Macaca mulatta: one gene and its partners. The protein of the gene in region 3 interacts with the protein of the main gene of each other region in a pairwise test. Links are inferred from orthologs where the notes say so. Each region holds a gene or a part of one and is shown on either strand. Other genes may lie near its edges.

What was found.
Region 1: the proteins of LMNA (region 3) and TMPO interact in a two-hybrid assay, tested with the Homo sapiens proteins (2 studies listed by BioGRID, with this or other methods). The link is inferred for Macaca mulatta from reciprocal best matches to the Homo sapiens genes LMNA and TMPO.
Region 2: the proteins of LMNA (region 3) and SYCE1 interact in binary tests that used the Homo sapiens proteins (3 or more experiments, as listed by UniProt). The link is inferred for Macaca mulatta from reciprocal best matches to the Homo sapiens genes LMNA and SYCE1.
Region 4: the proteins of LMNA (region 3) and TOR1AIP1 interact in a two-hybrid assay, tested with the Homo sapiens proteins (2 studies listed by BioGRID). The link is inferred for Macaca mulatta from reciprocal best matches to the Homo sapiens genes LMNA and TOR1AIP1.
Region 5: the proteins of LMNA (region 3) and ZSCAN12 interact in binary tests that used the Homo sapiens proteins (3 or more experiments, as listed by UniProt). The link is inferred for Macaca mulatta from reciprocal best matches to the Homo sapiens genes LMNA and ZSCAN12.
Region 6: the proteins of LMNA (region 3) and IFFO1 interact in binary tests that used the Homo sapiens proteins (3 or more experiments, as listed by UniProt). The link is inferred for Macaca mulatta from reciprocal best matches to the Homo sapiens genes LMNA and IFFO1.
Region 7: the proteins of LMNA (region 3) and BNIP3L interact in a two-hybrid assay, tested with the Homo sapiens proteins (2 studies listed by BioGRID and IntAct). The link is inferred for Macaca mulatta from reciprocal best matches to the Homo sapiens genes LMNA and BNIP3L.

What each region holds. Positions count from the first base shown.
Region 1 is NC_133416.1:105,806,526-105,810,569, reverse strand, and holds the start of TMPO (thymopoietin), read right to left. Parts: upstream 2,801-4,044; 5' UTR 2,523-2,800; coding exon 2,244-2,522; intron 1-2,243. UniProt on the Homo sapiens protein: May help direct the assembly of the nuclear lamina and thereby help maintain the structural organization of the nuclear envelope. Possible receptor for attachment of lamin filaments to the inner nuclear membrane.
Region 2 is NC_133414.1:145,685,461-145,688,960, forward strand, and holds part of SYCE1 (synaptonemal complex central element protein 1), read right to left. Parts: intron 1,673-3,500; coding exon 1,610-1,672; intron 898-1,609; coding exon 838-897; intron 480-837; coding exon 405-479; intron 1-404. UniProt on the Homo sapiens protein: Major component of the transverse central element of synaptonemal complexes (SCS), formed between homologous chromosomes during meiotic prophase. Requires SYCP1 in order to be incorporated into the central element.
Region 3 is NC_133406.1:110,815,755-110,819,883, forward strand, and holds the start of LMNA (lamin), read right to left. Parts: upstream 2,801-4,129; 5' UTR 2,590-2,800; coding exon 2,234-2,589; intron 1-2,233.
Region 4 is NC_133406.1:37,306,566-37,310,065, reverse strand, and holds part of TOR1AIP1 (torsin-1A-interacting protein 1), read right to left. Parts: intron 3,481-3,500; coding exon 3,439-3,480; intron 2,007-3,438; coding exon 1,920-2,006; intron 1-1,919. UniProt on the Homo sapiens protein: Required for nuclear membrane integrity. Induces TOR1A and TOR1B ATPase activity and is required for their location on the nuclear membrane. Binds to A- and B-type lamins. Possible role in membrane attachment and assembly of the nuclear lamina.
Region 5 is NC_133409.1:154,944,812-154,948,750, reverse strand, and holds the start of ZSCAN12 (zinc finger and SCAN domain-containing protein 12), read right to left. Parts: upstream 2,801-3,939; 5' UTR 2,724-2,800; intron 1,877-2,723; 5' UTR 1,809-1,876; coding exon 1,407-1,808; intron 1-1,406. UniProt on the Homo sapiens protein: May be involved in transcriptional regulation.
Region 6 is NC_133416.1:7,497,169-7,500,668, forward strand, and holds part of IFFO1 (non-homologous end joining factor IFFO1), read right to left. Parts: exon of another isoform or gene 3,310-3,500; coding exon 3,128-3,309; exon of another isoform or gene 3,006-3,127; coding exon 2,885-3,005; exon of another isoform or gene 2,620-2,884; coding exon 2,524-2,619; exon of another isoform or gene 2,357-2,523; intron 1-2,356. UniProt on the Homo sapiens protein: Nuclear matrix protein involved in the immobilization of broken DNA ends and the suppression of chromosome translocation during DNA double-strand breaks (DSBs).
Region 7 is NC_133413.1:28,123,808-28,127,815, reverse strand, and holds the start of BNIP3L (BCL2/adenovirus E1B 19 kDa protein-interacting protein 3-like), read right to left. Parts: upstream 2,801-4,008; 5' UTR 2,744-2,800; coding exon 2,644-2,743; intron 1-2,643.

The DNA of each region.
Region 1 (4,044 bases), on a different chromosome or scaffold from region 3:
CAGGAGGCTCTCATGAGCCAAGGAGCTTGAGGCTGCAGTAAGCTATGATCACACTCCTGCACTCTGGTGTGGGTGACAGAGCGAGATCCTGCCTAAAAATAATAACCAGTAATTATATTATAAACATACAACCAAAAACTTCACGGTTTAATACATTTGCACAGAGGACCGATAAAGGGTTCTATAGAACAACTAGGTTTTTTAATAAAGTGTGCGGATTTGAATATTTCATTTTCAAACAACTGTTTTTTTTTTTTTTTTGAGACGGAGTCTCGCTCTGTCCCCCAGGCTGGACTGCGATGGCGTGATCTCGGTTCACTGCAACCTCCGCCTCCCGGGTTCAAGCGATTCTCCTGCCTCGGCCCCTGCCACCAGGCCCGGCTAATTTTTGTATTTTTTTTTCTTTAGTAGTTTCACCATGTGGGCCAGACTGGTCTAGAACTCCTGACCTCGGGTGATCCACCCGCCTGTACCTCCCAAAGTGCTGGGATTACAGGAGTGAGCCTCCGCGCCCGGCCTCAACCAACGTCTACTGAAAGAGTTTAAATACTACCTTCTTTTTCAGAACAGGGGAACATAATGGGTAAAAGGGCACACTTTACTTCAAAAGTAAATTTGTTTATTAATAAATTAAAGTAGCTTTCCACAAAACAAGACGTTGAAACAATAAGGTGTGATAGGTCTTTTATTTATTGTACAATTATTTTGCACTACTATGTGTCACACACCGGACTTAAGACGTTTGTTAAGACGTTCAACTTCTCTAAAACTTAGGATAAGATTTTCAATTAAATTTACCTGTGTCTATTACATTTGTCTTTCATTTTTGCCTGAGTAGCTGGGAAAACACATTAGACAGGTTCCTTAAAAACTAAAGTAAACTTTGAAGGAAGGAGTAATTTCGGTTTACACTAGTGATAACTCGCAACAACCCCAAACACCACATTCACTGTCTCTTACAAGGCATTTTATGTTACACCAATTACTAGTTTTAGCTTCATCCTACTACGACTTGAAGCCTGGTAACTCGGCAGGCATAAGCAAACACACAAAAAGCATATTAAAATCCACAGGAAAAAAAGCAAACTATTCTCAAACAAAACATGCTTTGCTGGAGCCGATTTGAGATTTAACCAGGATCAGACATTCCAAATTGCAATACTGTTGCACCAGAATGTCATGCAATAAATTTTTCCTGAATCCTCTTTCCTTTCCTCAAGCAAAATTTACCAGTAAGGGAGAAAAACGCAATCCAAACTGTGAGTAATTTTCAAATATTTGTTTATAGGGCCGGGTCCGGTGGCTCACGCCTGTTATCCCAGAACTTGGGAGGCCGAGGTGAGTGGACCACCTGAGGTCAGGAGTTCGAGACCGGCCTAACCAACATGGAGAAACCCGGTTTCTACTAAAATACAAAAATTACCCGGGCGTGGCGACGCATGCCGGTAATCCTAGCTACTCGGGAGGCTGAGGCAGGAGAATCGCTTGAACCCGGGAGGCGGAAGTGGCAGTGAGCCGACATCACGCCATTGCACGCCAGCCTGGGCAACAGGAGCGAAACTCCATCTCAAAAATAAATAAATAAATATTTAAAAATTATAATAGGCGCTTTAAAATGTAGTTTAAACTGTTCCTTTCAATTCTGCGTGAAGCCGTCCCGCCAAAAGATGTCCTGTTGGTGGGAAAAATTAAACTAGAAAACATAAACGGTTCAAAAAGCCCTCCATACGCAAAAGTATAAAAAGGCGGGAATTTCCTTAATTCAAATTTTGGTTAGAAATTAGTGTGTCATCAGTTGCCCTCCAGGGAGCGCTGTGAGACTCTGCTGCGAGTCATTTCAGTTAATAAAGCGGGAAAACGCTCGAACTTAACCTATAGCATTTTGGGGCCACCCCTCCAGAGCTTTCGAAAGGCCACGGAAGTCCCCGTCTAAACGCCCGCTGCCGGCAGCTGGTGGTCCAGGGAAGCCGCGTCGCCCGCGTGCAAAACAACCGCCACCAACGCAACTCCACACCTCCCAGACACACACGTCAAAGAACGCGAATCCCGGTGCCCCAACTTCTGGCCTCTCCGCTCCAGCGCCTGCAGCCCCGCGGGGAAGGGGCAACGCGAGGGGGCGCAGGGACAGCCCCGCACCTGGGAGGCCCAAGGGGGCGCCCGGGAGGGAGGGGCTGCAAACGGCGGCGAGCGCGCGCGGCAACCGCCAAACGCCCGCCTTTGTGGCCCCGGCCCCGCGTCCTTACCCTGCCGACGGCTGCTCGGCTCCGGCCCGCGGCGGCGGCCACAGAGCCGAGAATCGGCGTGGGCTCGCGTTCCTCGTCACTGGAGAAGTCCGGGGGCCCCTTGCTGTTGGCGCCGGCGGCGAGCGGCGGCCGGTTGCGCGCCGTGAGGTGCTGCAGGTAGAGCTGGACGTACACGTCTTTGCGCTGCTCCCCAGCCGGCAGCGTCACATTGTTGGCGACCAACTCACTCTTCAACTTGTCCTTCGTCAGGACCGAGGGGTCTTCCAGGAAGTCCGGCATCTCGGGGATCTGCGAAGCCCCCTCCCCGCAGCCTTCGCTGCCGCCGCTCACGCCGGCGCGCTCGCTCCTGGCCGGGGGCCGCGCTGCCGCCTCCGAGCCTCACGGCTCCTGCCCAGTAGGAGCGCTGCGGAGCGGAGCAAAAACTCGCGGACACAAAGCCAAGCCAGACCCGGACACAAAAGACCCCAGAGCCGAACTACGGACGAAGTGCAGCCAAGCTGGAAGCCCGCACCAACCCCAGCCTACACACTACAGGCAGGAGGCGAGCAGCTTGCTTCGCCCACGCCCCAAGAACGCGCGGCGCCATTGGCGGGCGACGGGAGGAAGCGCGGCGGTGATTGGCGGGACGGCCCGCGCGGGTTCCATTAGCCGCCGCGCTGAGCGAGAGGAGGTAGAAACGCAGTTTAAAAGGCGCTGGGGCGGGAGCCGAGGCGCCCGGCCCGCTTCTGTTTTCATTTTCTCCACCCTTCCCCTTAGACGCCGATAAGGGACAGGTCGTACTGCTTTTGTGCGCCGTTTCCTCTCCCTCCCCCAGCTTGAGAAGCAGCTTTCGTCTCTGGGGTCGATCGCCTACGAACCGGCCGAATTCCACGCCGGCTGTGAGGACCCTTGTCTGGGCCTTTCTTCCTCCCGGGACACTGAAGCACCGAAGAGTAGCCGCAGCCTTGCCTTCCCCAAACGCTAGCCATGAAGGGGAAGAAAAGAAGCGAGACTTGTCTGCAGGCACTCATATTCCTTGATTTGATTTACTTTGGGAGGGGGAGGGCAGGGAGTTACCCCTCTGTCTACTCGCGAACGCTTCTTTTGTTCCAGAAACCCGGGAGAAGCCAGACCTCTACCATCGGGCACTTTACCCTTGAATTTGTGACAAAAGTGTACTATACCGTTCACTTCTTAGTCTCGTAGTTGGGGCATGTCTAAATTGTTTAATTTGAACAGTGCGTTGAGACTCAAGACAAATTCGCGCTTGCATTTTTGTTGAAACCGATCCTGGCTTTGGATCCCACTAACGTTTGATAACAAAACGAAGCCGAACCCTTGGGAACCCCCTCAATGGTCAATTTAAAATAGCAGATGTTGCGTAATCCTAAAGGAAGCCTAGTGACCTATAATTAGGCCGAGAACCCTAATCAAACCCGTATTACTAATCCAAATTAAAACCTGGTAGTGACTGCAATTAAAATGTTTGCCTGAAAATTAGTATCACTGATGACAAATATTTGTATTTCTGATGAATATGTATGATTAAAGATTCTAGAAAAGAAAGGAGACCTTGGATCAAGAATGTGTTAATAATTTCCCCAGAATCTGAGCTCCAAACTATATTTTAGAAACTGATTACATTTTTTTTGGTTTGCCTGCTTTCTACACTGTTAGGTTAGAATATATTTAAAACAAACGCTTTCACTAAAAATGTTTCCTATGATTTAAGCGACTTACTTTTGTTCAAATTGAGGAGATACTTCTTTTAGTGATATTTTCCTAGAGGTAACTAGTTTATAAAAATCTCAGTATCCATATA
Region 2 (3,500 bases), on a different chromosome or scaffold from region 3:
ACACCCATGAAGTCGGGTAAGGGCTGTGAAGAAACACATCAAATAGGAAGGGGCATGTGACCAGATGGTGACAGGGTGCCACCTTTAGATGGGATGACTGGGGAATGCCAGTCATCCTGTCTGGGGACATTCTAACTTAGAACTGTTGATGTGAGGAAAGAGGAACCTGTATTATCTGAGGAAGCATAGGCAGCACCTGGCAAAAGCTCTGAGGTGGGAATGAGGTTGGAGGGTATTTCTTGAACACTTCCACAAGCAGAGAGGAGAGGGGGAGACTGGCAGGACATGAGGCTGGAGAGGGTACAGGACCCTCGGTCATGGCAAGGATGCTTATCATCTGGAATACAGGGTTGGGGTAGCTTGAGACACTGTGGGGACCTCTGGGTGACCCCCGGCTCTCTTACGCAAGTCCAGTTCCTTCCGCAGGGCCTCACAGATGGTCCGGGCCTCTCCTAGGTCTTCATTGGCTTTCTTTTTGGCTTCACCAGAGAGCAGAAAAACATTGTGTGAGTGCAGCTTCTATTCTCTTGCCAACAGTGACATTTCTCATTTGCCTTCAGGAAAATCTATAGTGGCCTAGATTTTATACAGTAGGAAACGAGGCTTCCAGAGTCCAGGCTCTCCTTGCCAGGCTCTGCTGATAGCAGGGCTAGGATCATGGGTATATTAACTATGGCAGTTGCATGCTGAAATGCCCTGTACTTAATTTAAGGCTCTGCTGCTGCTGTTGTGAATAACCAGTAACTTTGGAACAAGGGACCCTGCATTCTCATTTGGCACTGAGCCCCGCAAACCATGTAGCTGGTACTAGCTGGCAGCCAAGGCCCCTGAACTCACCTTGCTGGGCCTCATTAATCCGGTTAATCAGGACCTCAACTCGGGGCTCTAGGCTTCCCACTGCAGGGAGGAAAGGAGGTTGAGTTGACAGGGCAGGCAGAGGTGTCTCTGCTGCTTTCACGCAACACAGATCTATTCAGTACCTACTGAAAGCAGGTGCTGTGTGGGGCCCTCACAGGGCTCATGTTCTGGGTGGGCGAGACTGGGAACAGACACAATAAGATACTGAGTGGGGCTGTGGTAACTGTGTTCAAGAGAAATAAAGTAGGGCAAGGGGGGTTAAAGCGCAAAGGAGTGGAAAGCGCTCCTCAGATATGGGAAGGTATCATGAGAGCCCCAAATCAGGTGGCGGGGGGCAGGCCCTGCAGCTCTTTGGGTTGGGGTGGGAGGTAGTCAGTGCAAAGACCCCCTCTGAGGTGGGAACATGGCTGGCAGGAGCCTAGTGAGCAAAGAGGGAGTAGGGGTTGAGGGGAAAGGAAGGGAAGTAAAGGTGGCAACTTCTGGATTTAATGGACTGCAGTGGAGCCAAATGGGTGACCAGCAAGAGGTTTGGGACAGGGTTTTGGGAAAACACTTTGCCTTCCTTACCCTTTTTCCTTCTTTAATTTTGAATCATGGGACCCGATTTTTAGTTTAAGTAATTAAGTTTTAAAAGAAAGAGAAGATGAAGAGGATTATTTCCCAAGTTTATACATTGTGGGGCTGGAAATTGAACCCACATCTGCTTGGCCCCAAATCTCAGGCTGAGCCTCACACAAAGGAGACACATGACCTTTCTGCAGCTTTTTCACCATTTCCATCAAGTCTTCAATTTTCTGTGAGGATGTGTCCTGCCCTGTGGAGACAAAACCAAATATTTCAGAATCAAGCAGGGCGAGAGGCCAGAGGAAGGATCTGACAGCCCCTGGGCTGAGACTGAGGTAGACTGAGGGCAGGTCTCCAGCCAGAGTGGTAGCCCTGCTCCTTGTCCTAAGGTGAACAGTACACTAGATGAATCAGGCTCCTTCATGGTCAGCTTTTCCCTGCAGGATAAAATTATACCAGGCAGCCCTTTGTAAAACTCTGGGTGAGGGCAGGGGTATACTCTCACTGCTGAGGCTGTTCAAAGTAAGGTCAAAGCTCCTGATATAATAATTCAAGAAAAAAAATGAAGGTATAAAAACCTGGAACAAGGAGTCAAAAATCACTGTAACTAGCAGATGACATAATCTAGGAAGTTCTTAAGAGAGTTTTCTATAAAACCATAAGGATTAGTAGCAAAATGCCTTAGGATGTTAGTTTAAAAACATACATAAATACAAATAGCTTTCCTATATACAACCAATACTAAACCTGAAATCTCCCCATAAAATATTTCATATTAATTTTTTATAATTATTGGAACCTATTTTTAACACTAAAATTAGTAGATCTAAGAAATTATTTATGGCATTAACATTGTGAAAGGAAAATAAATCTTTTTATAAATATTTGAAAATAAATCAATTCAAAGTTACCCTCTGCTGAGATAGATGCGTATCTGATTTTGTAAAATAAAAATCTGAAAATAAATGAATTCAAAGTCATCTCTCTGCTCACTCAGATAAATGCATATCTGATTGCCTCCTTTGGAAAGGCTAACCACAAACTCAAAATAATGCAACCATTTGTTTTTTATCTACCTATGATCTTGAAGTCAACCTCCCTGCTTCAAGTTGTCTCATCAATGCTTTGAGGTGACCCACCTTTCCAGATCGAACCAATGTTCATCTTACATATGTTGATTCATGTCTCATGTCTCCCTAAAAAGCATATAAACCAACCTGTGCTCTGACTACCTTGCCATCCTGGGCACATGTCATCAGGACCTCCTGAGGCTGTGTCGCAGGCATGCATCCCTAACTTTGGTAAAATAAACTTCCTAAATTGACTGAGACCTGTCTCAGATTTTGGGGTTTCACATTTTGGCAACCACAAAGGGATTCTGAGTAGAGGTGCTCCTGACCTTTGACAAATATTCTACCAGTGCCTGCTAGCAGCTTGGCTATCTTTGTGGCTCAAACTAATTTGACAAGTTGCTGAGGTCTGGAAGTCCCCTATCCAGGGAATCCCTCATTTCCCAAAATTCGTTCGAAGGCCAGAGTTTATTTTCTGAACAACTCTTCTCTTTTTCTGGAGTTTTACTTGCTTTCAACAAGGAAGGCAAGTTTTCCTGCTACCATGAAAACTCATTTCTGGAGTTTGAACTCGCTCCCAACAGGAAAGACAAGTTTGAGGGTTTTTTTTTCCTGCTTCTAAGATGATAGAGACAAGTCTTCAGCCTAAGACCCGTCCCTAGGTAAGTAACTGAATTGGGGTTTGTCTTGGCTAAAGGTAAGATTAACAACCAGCTGCTCTTAATTTTTCCTTACCATTACAGTGTTCAGTAATCATACAAGTTGTGTGATCATTTGTTTGTTACGCTTAACCGCTATTTTTTTTGTTGTTTCTTTCTGTTTTTGCTGTTTTGGTCCTTTTCCCATTGGGTTTGGCCAATTCTATCTGACTTGATCAAATCCAAAGGAAAGTTCCAAATTATGTGGAACAAGGCCTCTGAAGTGGCTAAATTCCCATCAGAAAAGTGGTGGTGGGGGAAGAAAAAACGGCCAGTAAAAGTAAAAAAGGGGGAGAAGAGTTTTGATTTT
Region 3 (4,129 bases):
CGTCTCTACTAAAAATACAAAATTTAGCTGGGTGTGGTGGCAGGCACCTGTTGTCCCAGCTACTTGGGAGGCTGAGGCAGAAGCATGGCTTGAACCCAGGAGGCAGAGGTTGCAGTGAGCCGAGATCACACTACTGTACTCCAGCCTGGACAACAAAGCGAGACTCCGTCTCAAAAAAACAAAATAAAGGTTGATGGCCGGGCATGGTGGCTCACGCCTGTAATCCCAGCACTCTGGGAGGCTGAGGTGGGTGGATCATTTGAAGGCAGGAGTTTGAGACCAGTCTAGTCAACATGGTGAAACCCTGTCTCTACTAAAAATACAAAAAAAAAAAAAAAAAAAAAAAAAATTAGCTGGGTGTGGTGGCTCACGCCTGTAATCCCAGCTACTCGGGAGGCTGAGGCAGGAGAATCTCTTGAGCCTGGGAGGTGGTGGTTGCGGTGAGCCAAGATCGCACCACTTCATTCCAGTCTGGGTAACAGAGTGAGACCCTGTCTCAAAAAAAAAAAAAAAGAAAGAAAGAAAAAAAGGTTGAGCCTGTTTTCCTACACACAACTTCCACTGACTCTTCAGAAAGAAGGGCTATGGGCCCGGCGTGGTGGCTCGCGCCTGTAATCCTAGGACTTTGGGAGGCCAAGGTAGGTGGATCACCTGAGGTTGGGAGTTCAAGACTAGCATGACCAACATGAAGAAACCCCTTCTCTACTAAAAATACAAAATTAGCCCGGCATGGTGGCACATGCCTGTAATCTCAGCTACTTGGGAGGCTGAGGCAGGAGAATCGCTTGAACCTGGGAGGCAGAGGTTGCGGTGAGCCGAGATTGTGCCATTGCACTCTAGCCTGGGCAACAAAAGCGAAACTCCATTTTCAAAAAAAAAAAAGGGCGATGGATCTGCCACACCCACCACACCTAGCAAAGGGTTTTGGGAAGAGCAGAAGTTTGGAGTAGTTGATAAAAGGGAGAGAAGAAGTCAAAGCCAACAGCCCTTTATGGCTCTCCAAGCCCTGTTAGTGCTCTTAGCCTGGGTCTGCATAGAGAAAGGGAAGGCAGGAAGAAGGGAACCAAATTTTGGGGGGACTGGAAGAGGAAGGCCTATACTTCCAAGCTCCCAAGGCTTTTTTAGGAAAGAAGAAGGTGGAGTTGAGCAGGGTGGGGTAGGGTGGGGCAGGGGTGGGTAAAGTAGGAGTGGCCTGAAGCTTCCAACGGCTGGATTTCAAAAATGTCACTGTATTCCAGCACTTTAATAAGACAAAGATCAAAACGTCAGCAGCTAAGAGGATGGGCCTGAGCAAAGACTGCCTGGCCTGGCTGGGAAAATGGAAGTGGCTCACTCCAAGGAGGGAAGGACAGTGCCCCCAACCCTCGAAGACACTAGGCAGTGGGCCAAGGGAGGAGTGCGGCCAGACCTGGGCATAACACAACTTCCTGAGCTGGGAGCCTCTGCCCTCTGCCTCCCTCCCTCCCTTGCATTCCTGGGCCAAGCAGGCCAAGGGCTGTGGGAGCTGCGGGGGAGCCAATCTCCCGATCTCCCATCTCCGGGAGCTCTTTTGGTGGGCCTGTCAGAGCCCAAGGAAGGTCCCAGACACGCAGAGTGGCAGAGTGAGGGACAGCTTCCCAACCCTTAGAACCCCGGACAAGGTCATGCCGAGGGGGCCACCGCCAAGCCCTCGGGAGGGAAAAGGGGGATTGCCCTGCCTTCCTCACCTCTCTCCAACACGCTGGACAGATGCCAGCTTGGGAGTCATGTCTTAGTGGGCATCATGTGTTCAGAGCCAGCTTGGGCAAAGCTGGCACCAGTGCCAAGCCCGCCAACAAAGTTCTAACAGGACCCTTTCTGCTACTCATATGTGTCCTGGGTGCCCAGAGTTCTTCGAGCTGGCAGGGCTAGTTCTGTTTTGCTTAAGCCCCTCCCGCAGGCTCCAAATAGCTGGCAAATCCCAATCTGACCGAATTCGGGCAGGCCCCAGCCCTAACTTGTCCCTGATACCCCCACCATTCCTTATATCCCCCCCACCCTCTCCCAGAGACCACCTCTTCCCTCTCTGTCCTGTCTTGACAATTCCCCTTGACACTGCCAGTCACTCGCTGGGGGCAGTTCCGGGAAGGGAGGAGACTATGGCAAAGTTATCGGCCTCCAGGCCCTCTCACTCCCTTCCTGCAGTCGGCCAGGGGCGCCGGCCAGCCGCCCTCTCCACTCCCCGCCAGGCACGCAGCCACCTGGGCGAACTCACCGCGCTTTCAGCTCCTTAAACTCCTCACGCACTTTGCTCAGCTCCAGCTGCAGGCGGGCACGCTCCTTGGCCACTGAGTCGAGGGTCTTGCGGGCATCCCCGAGCTCGGCCTCGTAGGCGGCCTTGATGCCGGACACCTCGCGGCTGACCACCTCTTCAGACTCGGTGATGCGAAGGCGCAGCCCTGCGTTCTCCGTTTCCAGCGAGCGAACACGGTCGATGTAGACCGCCAAGCGATCATTGAGCTCCTGCAGGTCCTCCTTCTCCTGCAGCCGGGTGATGCGGGTGGGCGACAGCGGAGTGGAACTGGCCTGCGCCCCGCTGCGGGTGGCGCGCCGCTGGGACGGGGTCTCCATGGCCGGCAGGTTGGCAGCGCTGCCCGCGGGGCAGGGGTCCCGGAAAGGGCTCGGGGCTCGGGCAGAAGGACGGAGACTGCTCGGAGTCGGAGTGCGCCGGCCGGCTGGCTCTCGGCTTGCTACTGGCAGGCGTGGGGATCTGGGCCGGGCGCTGTTGGACCTCGGGATCTGGGTTGGCTGGTGTAGGTGCTGCGCTCCCGCGAACACTGAGTCACCGACGCCGGGGCAAAGGCTCTAATAGGTCCTCGTCTGAAGGGAGGAGTGGCCACTGCTCTTAAAGGGGCAGTCCCAGATCCATGGGGGTGGGGGCAGGAGTGGTGAGGAGGGGGAAAGACCGTTGGGGTGTGGCGGAGTCGAGCCCCACCCTCTCCAGCGCACCCCTAACTGCGTGAGGCTTAAGCTTCCCCTCTCTTGGCTGCTCAGTACTGCCGGCTCCAAGCTTGCCCCCATTGCCTCAGACCTTCTGGGCTAGAGGGCAGAGCCAAGGAGGGAGAGTGGGTGGGCAAAAGGGTGGGGGAGAAAGAGAGGGAAGTGGGTGCAAAGCAAGGGAGAGGGTCAGGCAGGCAGGGCTGGGAGCCAGGAAAGTGGGGGGAGGGCTGAGGCTGGTGCCCATCAGTGTGACTCACCCTTCTTCCACCACTGGCTCCCCCTGTCCTCCCAGTAGTAATAGTGAGTCACCCCAACCCCCCCTCCACACGTGGGCAGCCCATTCAGAGCTGCATCTCAGTGTGCCAGGAGTGGGGTGGAGAAGGAATGCCTGGGTTCCCTGGGGGGAACAAAGTTCTGGAACCTGAGTTCCTTTATGCCCCCAATTTGGGGCCAGGGATCAAGGAGTTTGGGGGTCCCTTTTTTGCTTTCTTTTGCCCCAATATATCTCCCTTCAAAACCAAGTATTCGTTTTTAGACCCAAGCAACAAGCCACAGTCCCCTAAAGAAGGCCAAGAATAGGAGCCAGGCACTTCCCCCTTCCATCTCCTGTCCCCTTCCTTTGGACCCAAGCACTGCTTGGGTTCCTTCCCCCTTCAGTCCCTTTCTACTGCTTACCCCACCCAGTCAACTTAATTTTTTTCCCCCAGAACTGTACTTATTTTAATGGATAATTTAAAACAGATACCAGAGCTGTGTGTGCATTCATTACGTTGCCAGGACACTAGGTCCCAGATTTCTGTGGTTCCCAGAGGGGCCTGAAAGGGGGAGCAGGGCTGGGGGCTGGACAGCCAACGTTGGGTCTCTATCCTGGTTTCAGCCAGAAAGAAGGTAGTAGGGGGCAAGAAGGTAGTGGGGGGCAGGAACAGCAAAGACCCCACAGCCTTGCTGGCTGCAAAGGCCAGCACCACATTCATCTCTACTTTCCTCTCTGGCCAGGTCCATTTTGCAGCTGGCTCTGGGGAGGGGCCAGGCTGTCTCACAAAACGAGATCACCCAGGTCCCCAGGGTTCGCTAGCTCAGGCTCTGGAGCCTCCATCCTCAGGCCTCACCAAGGACCCTTTTGATAAGCCTTCCACTCCCCTCCCCTCATCCTGGCCCCTATTCTGGTCCC
Region 4 (3,500 bases), about 74 Mb from region 3:
TGTTTTTGAGATGGAGTCTCGCTCTGTCGCCCAGGCTGAAGTGCGATGGCATGATCACAGGACCTGGGGTTTATGTACTTCCAAATAGTTATGCTGGTAGCAATGGCAGCAAACTATTGGCTATATAAATGGTTTAATTAATCTCTGATTTTTAGAGCTTCATGTAACACGTATGAACACTAGTAATAGCACTTAGTGTCTACTATGTGCCAGGTAATGTTTTGCATATATGAATTAATTTAACACAACAATCCAGATGACGAGACTGAGGAACACAGAAGTTAAATAACTCTCTAAGGGCAAACAGCTAAAAAGTGAAGGAATGGAACCCAGGAATTCTGGTTAGACACTACCAGCGTGTTACAAATCTCCATTTCTATATCAAAAATACATAGGAAAAATGAGGAAGGGTGGGAAATACACAGAATGCCAAATGCCCATCAACTGGCTTATAATGCCAGGCATGGTGGCCCACACCTATAATCTCAGCACTTTGGGAGGATGAGGCAGGAGAATTGCTTAAGCCTGGGAGGTCGAGGCTGCAGTGAGCCATGGTCGCATCACTGTACTCAAACCTGGGTGATACAGCGAGATCCTGTCTCAAAAAAATAAAAAACAAAAACAAAACCAGGTTATGTACTTATTTTTATTTTATTTTGTTTTGTTTTTTTTGAGACGGAGTCTTGCTCTGTTGCCCAGGCTGGAGTGCAGTGGCGCAATCTCGGCTCACTGCAAGCTCCGCCTCCTGGGCTCATGCCATTCTCTTGCCTCAGCCTCCCGAGTAGCTGGGACTACCGGTGCCCGCCACCAGGTCTGGCTAATTTTTTTGTATTTTTAGTAGAGACGGGGTTTCATCGTGTTAACCAGGATGATCTCTATCTCCTGACCTTGTGATCCGCCTGCCTCAGCCTCCCAAAGTGCTGGGATTACAGATGTGAGCCACTGTGCCCAGCCTTATGTACTTATTTTTGAAGTGAAATGATGAAGTAAAGGATAGGAATTACAGGTCAGGCATGGTGGCTCACGCCTGTAATCCCAGCACTTTGGGAGGCAGAGGCAGGTGGATCACCTGAGGTCAGGAGTTTAAGACCAGCCTGGCCAACAAGGTGAAATCTCGTCTCTACTAAAAATACAAAAATTAGCCAGGTGTGGTGGTGCACACCTGTAATCCCAGCTACTCGGGGGGCTGAGGCAGGAGAATCACTTGAACTCGGGACGCAGAGGCTGCAGTGAGCCGATATCGCGCCACTGCACTCCAGCCTGGGTGACAGAGCGAGATTCCGCCTCAAAAAAAAAAAAAAAAGAATTGGAATTACAGAAATTTTAAGGAGGTGGTGAGGGGAAAGTGCAGGACTAAAGTATAAAATTACTCATTATTTACAGAGTTTACAAATTTGTTTAGCATTATCTTTTTTGTTCAACATTATCTTAAGCCTCAAACTGGTATTTTTCTCTCTTTAGTCTTTAGTCAACTCTTTCACTGAATGAACTTAAATTCACATAAACAATCAGAACTTGTTAATTAATAACTTGGTTTGAATTTGAAAATCCAGAGATAAAGGTAGTTATCTAATTAAATGAAAACTTCCTAAAAGTAACACTCCAGATAGTGTTGTCAGTTCCAATGGCAATGTGATTAGTTTCTCTATAAAATTCAAAAACAACAAATTCCTTTGAACACAAAAATATCTTATTTTCCACAAATATCAAAAAAAGCTAAAAGTGATTTGTTTAGATGTCATGACATATTATTAATCAGATCTATACATGAAATAATTAATTTTAATAAATAGTAAAAGAAAAATTCACTTTTTATGAAGTAGTAATAAAAATATGAAAGTTTTTTTTTAAAAAGCAAATTCATGGAATACCAAAGATAGTTCTATGAGAAGAGTCATATGTATATAAAGCAACGTTACCTCCAGATTCATCAGAATCCCTGGATCTGGCCTTAACAGTAGTGACACTGCTCTGAGAGCTGTCTTGATCATCTTCTTCAGTTTCTCCTAAAGAGAAGTAAACAATATACTAGTATACTCTTATTTTAATGCTCAAAAGATCTGAATTTTAAAAAAACAAGCAAGTAATTTAACATTAAGAGAAGGCTTTTAGGTTATCAGATACAGATCTGCTGTTTATCATGCTTATTATTTTGAATCCCAAAGTTCCAAATGAACTAAAATTTAGCTCAATTTGTGTTCTCTGGGGCACATAATACTTTCCTAAACAAATATTCACAGTAATATCTAAAAAACTATATTCTAAGCCTTTAATGTGGAGTCAAAAATGAACAGATGAGCATTAAACAGTGGAAAAAGTTTATGGGGAGGAAAACTACATATAATTAGTGTGTAGTTAAATTCAGATGTGTGTTTGTGTGTGTGTGTGTTGGTGGTGGAGGGGTAGTGTATACACACCTGCACACAAACATTCTATTATGCAGGTGACCACCCTCAGATTATGCTGGGCTTCAACAAAAACTAAATTTTACTCCTGTACTTTTCAAACATAAACTGATTATGAGAATTTGGAAAACTGATTTTTTTTTTTTTTTTTTTGAGACGGAGTCTCGCTCTGTCACCCAAGCTGGAGTGCAGTGGCTGGATCTCAGCTCACTGCAAGCTCCACCTCCCGGGTTCACGCCATTCTCCTGCCTCAGCCTCCCGAGTAGCTGGGACTACAGGCGTCCGCCACCTTGCCCGGCTAGTTTTTTGTATTTTTTTAGTAGAGACGGGGTTTCACCGTGTTAGCCAGGATGGTCTCGATCTCCTGACCTTGTGATCCGCCCGTCTCGGCCTCCCAAAGTGCTGGGATTACAGGCTTGAGCCACCGCGCCCGGCCGAAAACTGATTATTTTAATACCATAATAGCAAATATTACCTTTGCTTAAAATGAACCCAAATAGACAAAAGATGCTTAAAATGTAAGGCTGTCATCACTCATTCTATCTTTCCTATTATTTCTGCCCAGTTAACAGTTTAGATAAGCATGAATTTTTTTTCATGAAGAAAAATACATTATTTTCTGTTCTCACTTTTTAAAGAGATGGGGTCTCACTACGTTGCCCAGGCTGGAGTACAGTGGCTATTCACAGGTACAATCCCACTACTGATCAGCACGGGAGTTTTGACCTGGTCCGTTTCTGAACTGAATGGATTCACCCCTCTTTAGGCAACACGGTGGTCCCCCGCTCCCGGGAGGCCACCATATTGATGCCAAACTTAGTGCAGACACCCGGTCGGCATAGCACACTACAGATAGCCCAGAACTCCTGGACTCAAGTGATCCTCCTGCCTCAGCATCCTGAGTAGCTGGGACTATAGGCATGTGCCACAGTCCCCGGCTGTGTTCTCACTTCTTAAGTATCTATCAGAATGGCTTCTAATGTAAAGAAAAAGACTTCAAATATATATTGTATGATATTTAAAAATAAAATACCTTCTTCAGAGAAATTGACCTTCTGTTGGACACTGGTGGCTTCTAGAAGAGAAAAGCATACA
Region 5 (3,939 bases), on a different chromosome or scaffold from region 3:
TCTTACCTAAGACATTCTTCATCCTTGGTAATCACACTTTCATGATCCTGTTTCTTTTTTTTTTTTTAAGCAGAGTCTCACTCTGTTGCCCAGGCTGGGGTACAGTGGCACAATCTTGGCTCACTGCAACCTCTGCCTCCTAGGTTCAAGTGATTCTCCTGCTTCAGCCTCCCAAGTAGCTGGGATTACAGGCACGTGCCGCCATGCCCGGCTGATTTCTGTATTTTTAGTAGATATGGGGTTTCACCATGTTGCCCAGGCTGGCCTTGAACTCCTGGCCTCAGGTGATCCACCTCCCTTGACCTTCCAAAGTGCTAGGATTACAGGCATGAGTCACTGCGCCTGGCCTCGTGATCTTATTTCAAACTTAGATCTTTTTGCCACATGTTCCTACCCTCTCTATTGTATTTTGTATCACAGTGTTAGATTATACTTCCATTTCATTATTTCCCTAAGTTTCAAACTCTTTATATCAGGGTTTCCTAGTGTTGGCTCTACTGACATGTTGGTTTAGATAATTCTCTGTTGTCTGGGGCTGTTCTGTGTGTTGTAAGAGGCTTAGCATTAGCCTTGTCCTCTCTACCCACTAGATACTAGGAGCACCTCCCTGAGTTATAACAACCAAAAATGTCCCAAGACATTGCCAATGCCCTCTGGGGCACAAAATTGGCACTGGTTGACAACCACTGTCTCATTTTAGTATTAAAAACAAAACAAAAAAGTTCTATATAATTTGGTTCTCTTTTACATCTTACAATTAGTAAAGGTCATTTAGACTCAAGAAGAAAAGGTTAGGGGCGTCTGTCTACAGAATAAAATCTCAATTCCAGAGGTTGAGATTCAAGGTCCTGGACACTATCTCAACTCTTCTACTCAGAATTCACCTTTCCAACCTAACTGGGCTTTCTACTACTCAAAGAAACACAGAACCCCACCCTGCTCTCCTCACTAACTTTCCATTGTACTCCCACATCTCATTCCCCTGAAATAGTTAATTTTTCCATTTTAAAACCCTGTAATGGAGTCAGAGCAATGGATATATCTGCAAAACCTTAATTCTTAATTATTTGTATTGCGCAACAGAGTGATGCCCCTCCAAGAGACTGCTTCCCATCCTGCTACTTTCATCTCTCTGATACCTTCTCTTGTCTTAGAAGTTTTCTAAGATGAGCAGCATATTTATCAAACAGAATTTTGTAGCTTAATAGAGAAATATAAAATCCTTCCACAGAAAAGTTATAAATAAGTTGGGACCACATTAGCCAACTTTCCCTGAAACTCATGCCCCTTTCTGATGCATCAAACTGTCAAAAAACATGCTTTGTGAAAAAATGGCTGTTCTTCACTCTGGCCTAGAAATCCACAATTTATCTTTTCTCAAACAGAAGTCACATCTTTTTTCTCACCTGCTCTCCTGGCTCATCCAATTCTCTCTCTAAATCCTCCAGCACAGTCACCACCTCCTCGCCACTCTCTGGATGCTGCTCCTGCACCCAGGCCTGGAGCTCCTCAGGTAGGATGGTCAGGAACTGCTCCAGCACCAGCAGCTCCAGAATCTGTTCTTTGGTGTGGGTCTCTGGCCTCAGCCACTGATGGCAAAGTTCTCGGAGTCGGCTCAAAGCTTCACGGGGACCAGACGTCTCCTGGTAGCAGAACTGTCTGAAGTACTGACGGAAGACCTCTCTGCTATGGGTGTTGTTTTTATGCAGGTCCCAATCCTGTCTGGTGGTATACTTCTTCTCCTCTATCTTTACTTCCAAACGTTCATCCTGGTCCATGTGGGCCTGGATAGCCCAAGTAGATGCCATTTTAGCTGTGCCAGAACTACCGGTGTTTCAAGTAAGATCTCCCCTGGAAAATTTATTCCTGGACAGTCCTGAGGAATAAGCCATCATTATTAACACAAACTCCACCATAAAGTAAAATTGCAAATTCTGAGAACTATGATCTTTGAAATCTGGCCTCCAGGTTAATGTACGATACTTACTCAGAAAAATACTCTGATAGAAAAGACTTAAGATTAGACCAATTTAAAGAGAAAGACTAAGGAAAGGTGCCAAGTTGTTTCAGGACATTAAGAAGAAGAGTAAGACTTGTTAGTAAACTTATTCTCATTTGGTCCTAAATGAAAGACAAATGGAATAAAACTAACATTTAGATCAAGTAAACAATAATGATAAAAGGTTAGGACATCCTTGATTAGTTACTTTTATCTTTTGAATGTCCAGATGTCTGGTAGAAACCATGAAATCACAAAAGCAACAAAGTCATGTAAATTTATTTCCTCAGGGACTTAAACTTTCCGCTCCTTATTCTTCATTTATAAAGTGAGAAGCCTGAAGAGGTTACTCTTTAAGCCTTCCCTCTATCCTCATGGTCTGTGATTATAATCTGAAGTGAGGAAGGCCCTGGGACGCCGGCCAGCGTCTGTGAACCACCACTGTCTAGAAATGTCGGTACGCGCTGAACCCAAGGATACAACGCCGAGGCAAACGCGGAAGGTAGGTATGGGCCTTACAGCACGGAACTGCTGCAGACTGGGAGCCGATCCCTCATCCTAGTCTCCCAGCGCACTTTGGGGAGGGAGAGCTTCCCGCGGATCCACCTGGGTTTGGGAGGACCAGGGTCCATTCTGCACCGGCCAGAGCCGAGGGGCCCAGCAACTAGAATACAGCAATCTTCCGCCCACCTCCTCGCAGCATACAGAGCACAACATCGCTCACCTGCGGCCCCCCGGGCCAGAAGAGAACTCCCCCCTAAAGGCCTCGAACCCTTTTGGGACCCGGAACCCATCAAAAGTGACCCACAAAGTCCGGAAGCGGCCACAGGAGGGCTGAGAACCAACCCGCGTGGGGCGCACTTCCGCGGCCGCTCTAGGAAGGGGGCGAAAGGGGCTTTCAACTCGGTAGTAGTGTTTCCGCGCGTCTACGTGAGAGGAAGGGTGATGATGGCTCTCAGACCCGCGGGTAAACGGAACGGGTTTATCTTTCTCCTCTTCTTTACTCAGCCATTGTCCACACTTCCCCCGGCCCGATGGGTGGTCAAGGCTTGTAGAACTGATCTTAAGACAGGGAAATCCCTTGCGTCTCCATTCACTTTGGGATTCTGTGTCTCTGAGGTTAGAGATGCCTCAAAGGGATGTTCTCGGGGGACCTTCTCCCGGGGAGCTTCCCAAATCCGCGCTTAGCGGTGGCGTAGGGATTTCTTCCACACAGACTTCTCAAGGGCCAGCGGGCTGGTTTCTGCCGGCTATTTCGCCATCCACGATCCTCTTGATGTTCTCTTTTATGCGCCGATGTATGATTATATGTCAGAAAACCCGGTTCAATGGAAAAACTATTAAAAAAAAGGATAATTTAGTAAATTAGCAAGATATAAAGTTAACACACTAAAATCAATGGCCTTCATATATGTGAATAATCAATGATAACGAGTTACGAGATATAATGGAAGAGAAGACTATATTTACAATAGCAACAAAAAATTGAAACTAGGAATAAACTTAACAAGAAATGAACAAAACTTCTATGGAGAAAGCTTTAAAAAGCTCCTAAAAGGCCAGATGTACATTTAAACAAACAGAAAGCAATATGCGGTTCTTAGAAAGACTCAAAGAGGTCAATCCTCCCTAAATACGTATGCAACTCTAGTATTCCAACAAAAATATCAACAAATATTGTTCTGGAATTAGATAAACTGATTATAAAGTTCAAGTGGGAAAATAAGAATAGCCAGGAAACCCATGAAAAAGAACAATGGTGAGGGTCAGCCTTATCAGATACTGGAACATACCCATATGATTTTATTGTATTAACAGAGAGAAAGAATAGACCAGAAATAGATCCAGGTATGTAAGGATATTGAGTAAATGATGAAGGGGACACCACATGTCAACAGAGAAATGAAGAACTTAGAAGTTGTGCTGGGATGACAACCATT
Region 6 (3,500 bases), on a different chromosome or scaffold from region 3:
GTGGTGACGGGCGCCTGTAGACCCAGCTACTCGGAAGGCTGAGGCAGGAGAATGGGGTGAACTCGGGAGGTGGAGCTTGCAGTGAGCCGAGATCGCGCCACTGCACTCCAGCCTGGGCGACACAGAGCGAGACTCCATCTTGGGGGAAAAAAAAAATCTCACTCTATCCAGACCGGGACATGAACCCTCCCTCTGTCCCAAGGATCCACACTGTCTGCACTGCCTGCCCATTAGTTACTTGGTAGCCATCTCAGTGATCAGATTGACTGTCATGGTATCGCAGGGCCTGTGTTCAAGGAACCCTTACTTTTACTTCATAATGGCCCCAAAGCACAAGAGTAGTGATGCTGGCAATTTGGATATGCCAAAGAGAAGCCAAAATGTGCTCCCTTTAAGTGAAAAGGTAAAAGTTTTCAACTTAATAAGAAAAAGAATCCGATACTGAGGTTACTAAGGTCTATAGTAAGAATCTTCTATCCGTGAAATTGTAAAGAAGGAAAAAGAAGTTTGTGCCAGTTTTGCTGTCACACCTCGAACTGCAAAAGGTACTGCCACACCGCATGCTAAGTCTTAGTTAAGAGAGAAAAAGCATTGAATGTGTGGGTGGAAGACATGAACAGAAACACGTTCCGGTTGACAGCACCTGGACCCAAGCTATCGGGGGTCAGTGCTATCTTTGGTTTCAGGCATCCACTGTGGGTCCTGGAACACATGCCCTGCAGGTAAGAGGGCACTACTGTATGAATCTCCCACATGGGCTTGAAGAGAGGCTGAGAGTCAGAGAAGGCTCCATGCCTCTCCTCAAGTCAGAGCGTCGGGAAAGGACCATCTCACCAGGCCAGGAGAGCTCACAGGGGTCCCGTCCATCCCTCCTCCCACAGCAACCTCCATTCTGTGGTTCCACAAATCCTTCCTTTTTTTTTTTTCTTTTTTTTGAGACAGAGTCTTGCTCTGTCACCCAGCTGGAGAGCAGTGGCACAATCTCGGCTCACTGCAAACTCTGCCTCCCGGGTTCATGTCATTCTCCTGCCTCAGCCTCCCGAGTAGTGAGTAGCTGGGGCTACAGGTGTCCGCCACCACGCCCGGCTAATTTTTTTTGTATTTTTCGTAGAGACAGGATTTCACCGTGTTAGCCAGGATGGTCTCGATCTCCTGACCTCGTGATCCGCCCACCTTGGCCTCCCAAAGTGCTGCGATTACAGGCGTGAGCCACCGTGCCCGGCCTCCACAAATCCTTCTTGCAGGTCCTAAAGCCTAGAGTTTGAGTTAAAGCACCAGCTCCACTTGCCTCTAGGTACCTCTAGAAGGTACTTCAAGGCTTGGGAAAAAGCATGGAGACTTCTGTTATCTCAACGGCTGAGTGGAAGAAACAGGAAAGTCCCGGTCCGTCTCAGTGCTATGGCACTGATAGTGTTAATAATAATAAAATGGTCCCCACTATGCTACACTCGCTATGAGCCAGACACTGCCCTAAGCTCCATATGTGCATTATTTCATCCGCTCTTCTAAACAACCCTATAGATGAGGTACTATTAAATTCCTCATTTTACAAATAAAAAGGCCAGGCGCAGTGGCTCATGCCTGTAATCCCAACACTTTGGGAGGCCGAGTTAGGAGGACTGCTTGGACCCAGAAGTTTGAGGCCAGCCTGGAAAGCATAGTGAGACCCTGTCTCTGTAAAAAATCAAAAAATTAGCCGGGCGTGGTAGCACACGCCTGTGGTCCCAGCTACTTGGGAGGCTGAGGTAGAAGGATTGCTTGGATCCAGAAGATCAAGGCTGCAGTGAGCCTGGAGTGACAGAGCAAGACCCTGTCTCAAAAAAAAATAAAGAAAGAAAGAAAGAAAGAAAAAGAAACAGGTACAGGACAGGACACATGGCTCGTGCCTTTAATTCTAGCACTTTGGGAGGCCGAGGCAGGAGGATCACTTGAGCCCAAGAGTTTAAGACCTGCCTGGGAAACACAGGGAGACCCCATCTCTACAAAAAATAAAAAATAAAAATTAGCTGGGTGTGGTGGCGCACACCTGTGGTCCCAGCTACCCAGAAGGCTGGGGTGGGAGGATCACTCCAGCCTAGGCAACAGAGTGAAACAGAGTGAGACCTTGTCTCAAAAAAGAAAGGACAGAAAGACAAGAGAGGGAGGGAGGGAGGGAGAGAGGGAGAGAGGGGAAGAGAGAGAGAGAGAGAAAAACGGGGGAAGGGAGGAAGGGAGGAAGGAAGAGAGGGAGGGAGGGAGGGAGGGAGGGAGGAAGGGAGGAAGGAAGGGGCTCAGAGGGAACAAGTAACTTGTTACACGTTCAGAGTGGTTGTAAGTAACAGAGCTGAGATTTGAACCAACATCTCTCTGCTTCTAGAGCCTGAGGTCTTCAGAGCCCACCAGAAGGACTATAGCTGAGAGATCACTCCTCCTCCCAAGACCTTGGTCTCTAGGGTCCTGCAGGAGGGATGAGGCCACTGCACCTGCAGCCCCACTCAAAACCCTCTGGGACACTGTGCCCCTGGCTTCCGCTCCTGCCCTTACCTCTATCTGGTCAATGGTCTCCTGATACTCCTTCTCCCGGGTTTTGAACAGGGACTCCGTATCTTTAATCACCTTCTCCAGGCTATCTTCCTGCTGCTGGAGTAGAAAGGGAAGCAGGGGAGGCCAGCCAGGGAGGGATGGGATAGGGCGCATTCCAAGGGCCAAGTCAGAGAGAGAGAGAGAGAGAGGAAGTCCGGTTAAAGAAACTGGAGAAAGAAAAGCAAAAGGATAAAGGAAGAGGGGAGACGCAGGTAGAGGATGACAGCCACATGGGGGGACAGAGCGAGGAGAGGAGCGGGGGGGTGGGCGTCAGGCTGGAGAGGCAGAGCCAGAGGGCCCTGAGGCCGGGAGCAGAGGTTACCTCTCCCTGGGCCTCTGCAGCTGCCATGGCATAGCCTGAGAAATCCTCCCAAAGCAGCAGGGTCTCCTCAGTCTCCTCCCAAGTCAGGCTGTCACAGTCGTCCTCAAAATCATACTCCCTCCTAGAGACAGGGAACCCGGGTGTCAGGGCGGGCGGGGCCTCGTCCTGGCAGGGGACTGGGGAGCTCCGGCCTCCTGGGCTGCTGTGGCATCGGTGCTACGGGAGCACGGCCTGCGGACTCACAGCTGGTTGAGCATGCGCTGCATCTCCTCGTTGATGCTGAGGGCTGTGCTCTCCTCCTCATCCCCATCGGGCTGGCGGGGCCCCTCACTCTCCGACAGGGAGGTGTCCTCCTCGACGGCAGCCTTGCGCTCCCGCTTCCGCCCCCCCATGGATGGGACCTTAATGGGAGACAAGTGCAGAGACTACAGAGACGAGGCCGGGTGCATGAGGAGAAAGGGCGGGAGCGGGAGGCCGGGCAGAGAGGGCGGGAATGGGGGAGAAGCGTGAACCAGCAGGAAGGGTGGGGCAGACAGAGAGAAAAGTCACAGTTACAATGACAGGAACAGAAACACGGACAGTCACCAAGGGCCAGGCACACAGACACACAGCAGAG
Region 7 (4,008 bases), on a different chromosome or scaffold from region 3:
TTAAGAGGAAAGAGGGGAGTAATTAAATATGGCATTATCTAAAAGCTTTTCAGAAAGCTCACCCTATCCCACGTAAAATATTTTCTATCTAGATTTCCCAAAGCAACATTTTGATATCCCATGCAGGCTGAGTACTTCCACCTCTGTAAGAGTTGATGTCAACCAAGCAGGAACCGACTGGCCAAAGACATCAAACTCCTCATAGGTCTGTCAGACTCCAAGATAAACAATGACATATGGCTCAGCCCTTTTTTTTTTTTTTTTTTTTTTTGAGACAGAGTCTCGTTCTGTCACCCAGGCTGGAGTGCAGTGGCCCGATTTCAGCTCACTGCAACCTCTGCCTCCCGGATTCAAGCGATTCTCCTGCCTCAGCCTCCTGAGTAGCTGGGATTACAGGCGCCCGACAGGCCAGCTAATTTTTGTATTTTCAGTAGAGAGGGGGTTGGTCTCTCACCATGTTGGCCAGGCTGGTCTCGAATTCCTGACCTCAAGTGATCCACCCGCTTCGGCCTCCCAAAGTGCTGGGATGACAGGTATGAGCCACCACGCCCTGCCTGGCTCAGCCCTTATTGTTGTTGTTGTTAAAGGGTCAAAGGAAGATGAAAATCCCTTAGATTTCAGTGAAATCATGTACACCTACCAAGTATCTTCACTCATAAGAAAATTGCACAATTAAGAAACAGAATACTAAAAAGAAACAGAAAGGTGGGCCACCTTTGTGAATTAGGTAGAATAACACACTGACAAAATAAGACACACAGACCAGCAGGAGGTTCTGGACCACTGAAAAGAAGTCCTGAAAAGAGGCCGGGTGTGATGGCTCAAGCCTGTAATCCCAGCACTTTGGGAGGCCCAGGCGGGCTAATCACGTGAGGTCAGCAGTTTGAGACCAGCCTGGCCAACATGGTGAGAGACCAACCCCCTCACTACTGAAAATACAAAAATTAGTCTGGGTTGGTGTCGGGCGCCTGTAATCCCAACTACATGGCGAAACTTCGTCTCCACTAAAAATATAAAAATTAGCTGGGCGGGTGGCAAGCATCTGTAGTCCCAGCTACTCAGGAGGCCGAGGCAGAAGAATCGCTTGAACCTGGGAGGTGGAGGTTGTAGACAGAGCGAGACTCCATCTCAAAAAAAAAAAAAAAAAAAAAAAGCCCTCCCTGAAAACAGCAGTAGACAGGCTGAACATGACAACCTCCGCTTTGCTCCCAGCCAGTTGTGAACTTGGACCAGGCTCTTAACTCTAGACCTGTTTCTCTACAGGTAAACAACAGGAGGCAGTTAGCTAGCTCTGAAGTTTTTCCCATTCTCAAACCTAAGACAGTATGCTAAACATGGGCAAATAACTTAAAATTGCATAGGAATATGTGATACGAGTAACGTTTAATGACTCAGACATTCATCCTAATTTACTGTGGGAAATAACATAACCGTCTTACATTCTGGAATGTAGGACACTTAAAGGTTTTGGGTATTAACCCATCAAAAAACCTGGAGCAGCAGCATCCGTCTTAAAATCTCCAAACTCCGTTGCTACCTGGTGACGGCTGAAACTCTCTTCCCTAGAATAATCTTCAGGCCACGCTGGAAGCATCTCCCTCTTACGAAAGATACTGCATGACCTTTAAGCATCCAAGCGGTTTTGAAAAGCCTTCATCTGGCCATATGCTCGCTACCCCCATTATCTCTTTCCCAAGAGTTGAATTAAAGAAAGGTTAGGCAAGAACCCTTCCAAGAAGGCTCCCGGTTCTCACGACCAGGAACAATCTGAGGACAAGATGTCTGGGCAGTGGAATGTTATGAAAAGACCCTGGCCTGGGTTGTCCATCAGCCTTGCCCGTTAACTTTCAATTGCCCGAGTGCGTTTTTAATTCCGTTTCTTTAAATGCATGGCCCCAGACTCCCTGACGTGTGCAGTCCCGGGTGGTTCAGGAGGCTGCTCTCAGGTTTACTGGGCGCACAACCTCATCGCTTAAAAAAAATCACTTGGGCAACTTCGAGAAAGCTAATAAAAAAAAATTAAAAAAGGAAAAAGGAGAAGCAAGGCACAGCCTCTCACCCCACACGTGACTGAAGCCCCTAGACCAGCAAATGAATTTTCCTGACAAACATGTGGCAACAAAGGAATGCTCGCTGGGGGCTCCCGAGCCCGCCAGACGCTGCCCGCCCGCGGGCCCCGCACACCTGATCCCAGACACGTCCCGCGGCATCCGCCCGCCCCGCCCCGCTCCCGCGCGTCCATCCCCCGGCGTCCCCGCCGCACGTCCCCATTCCGGCCCACGTCCCCTCCGCGGCCCGCTCCGCCCACCTGGCCTCCCCGCCCCCCAGGCCCGCCCCCGCCCCGCCCGGCTCCGCTGCTGGGGACCACCCCCAGCACCAGTGGGATCCGCGCTACCCGCGCCGCTCCCGGACCGCGAACCCAAACGGCCCCGGCCCATGACCCCAGGAGGCAACAGAGAGGCCCGGAGCAAGGCAGGCGCCCATCCTCCTGACAGGTGACGGGAGCTGTCAGTCACCCGGACATCACCGGCCTGGGCCAATGAGCTGCCTTCTCCTCCCGCCTCCCGCGCCGCGCCGGTGGCGGCGGCCGGGGCGGCTCCTCCTCCCCCATCCCCTTCACCAAGCCCTCGGCCCCTCACTCACTATTGAGGCCGGCCGGCTGCGGCAGAGACTGGCCACTTTCCTCGCAGTTGTTGTTGTTGTTGTGCAGGGGCGGCGGCGGCTCGACTAGGTGGGACGACATCGTCGGACAGCTGGCAGGGCTCCGGCAGCAGCAGGACCGTCTCAGGCTCTCAGGCAGCAACACAACAAGCCGAGTCCCCCGCCCCCTTTTCTGCGCCTGCGCTGTCCCTCCCCTGCCACTGACGTCAGGGTCCGCCCAGGCCACGTGATGACAACACAACAAGCGACCGGACGGGGCGGCGGCGTTCCCCTGCGGGTCCCGGACGTGGAGACGCGCGAGTCAAGCTGACGCGCGCGCCGGGAACGAACTCTTGCGTGTGACTTGGGATGACCGGATGGGATGAGTGATGACAATGGCACTGCGAGAGAGGATGAGAAGAAGCGGAATGAGGAAGTGCGCTCCTGTGTTAGCGCCCGTGCCTCCTCTCACACAGGCTCCATAGTGCTTCATCCAGCCCTGCACATGCATCTGTTTTCTACTGCTTAGGACTCACTCCTGCAATAGGTGTCTTGGGGACACAAAGGAAGCCCCAAACCCAGGTGCTTCCACTTGTAAACTCCAAATAAAGCTGCTGAAACATCAACACTCCATACGGGAAACAAGGGAAGGCCGCCCCCAAATTTAATTGTTATAGAATTTTTAAAATGTCGATTACAAACACACCATCATTGTAAAAAAGAAAGAGAGAAAGAAGAAAGGGAAAGAAATAAAAAAGAGAAAAATTCAGGAAAAACAGAAGAAAGCAATCACCCAAATCCCATCGACTAATCGATTTCTGGGACATGACGTGGGAAGCCGTTTATCCTGTACGTGGATGACATTTAACTATTTTCCTGAGCACACCTCCTACTTCACGTCTCCATGTCTTCGCCCTGTCTCCTTGGTCTGATTTATGAGTCACATATGTTTCTCTCAGTCTCTGACTTGTCTTTTAATTTTTTTTTCACTGTGTAGAAGCGTAAGGTTTTCATGTAATCAGATTTATCATTCTTACATGACTTGGGGAGACTTTCGCACCAAAATAATTAATCTATAATTCCCTTATAACTTTTTCTAATTTTCTTATAGGCTTAAATTTACATTCAGAGCTCTAATCCATCCGAAATTTATTTTCCATATGCTGTAAATGATTTAAATTCAATTCTCAATTTTGTAGCCCATTGACCCAATAATATTAATTTTAAGCCATCCTTTCTACCCTGATTTGAAATTGTACCTTTGTCACTCTCTGAATGCCCACAAAATTGTGAGTCTGTTTCAGGGCTATCTACAATACCTCTGTTAGGTAACTATTAAAGTTTCTCTTCGTTTGTCTTTTTCAGATG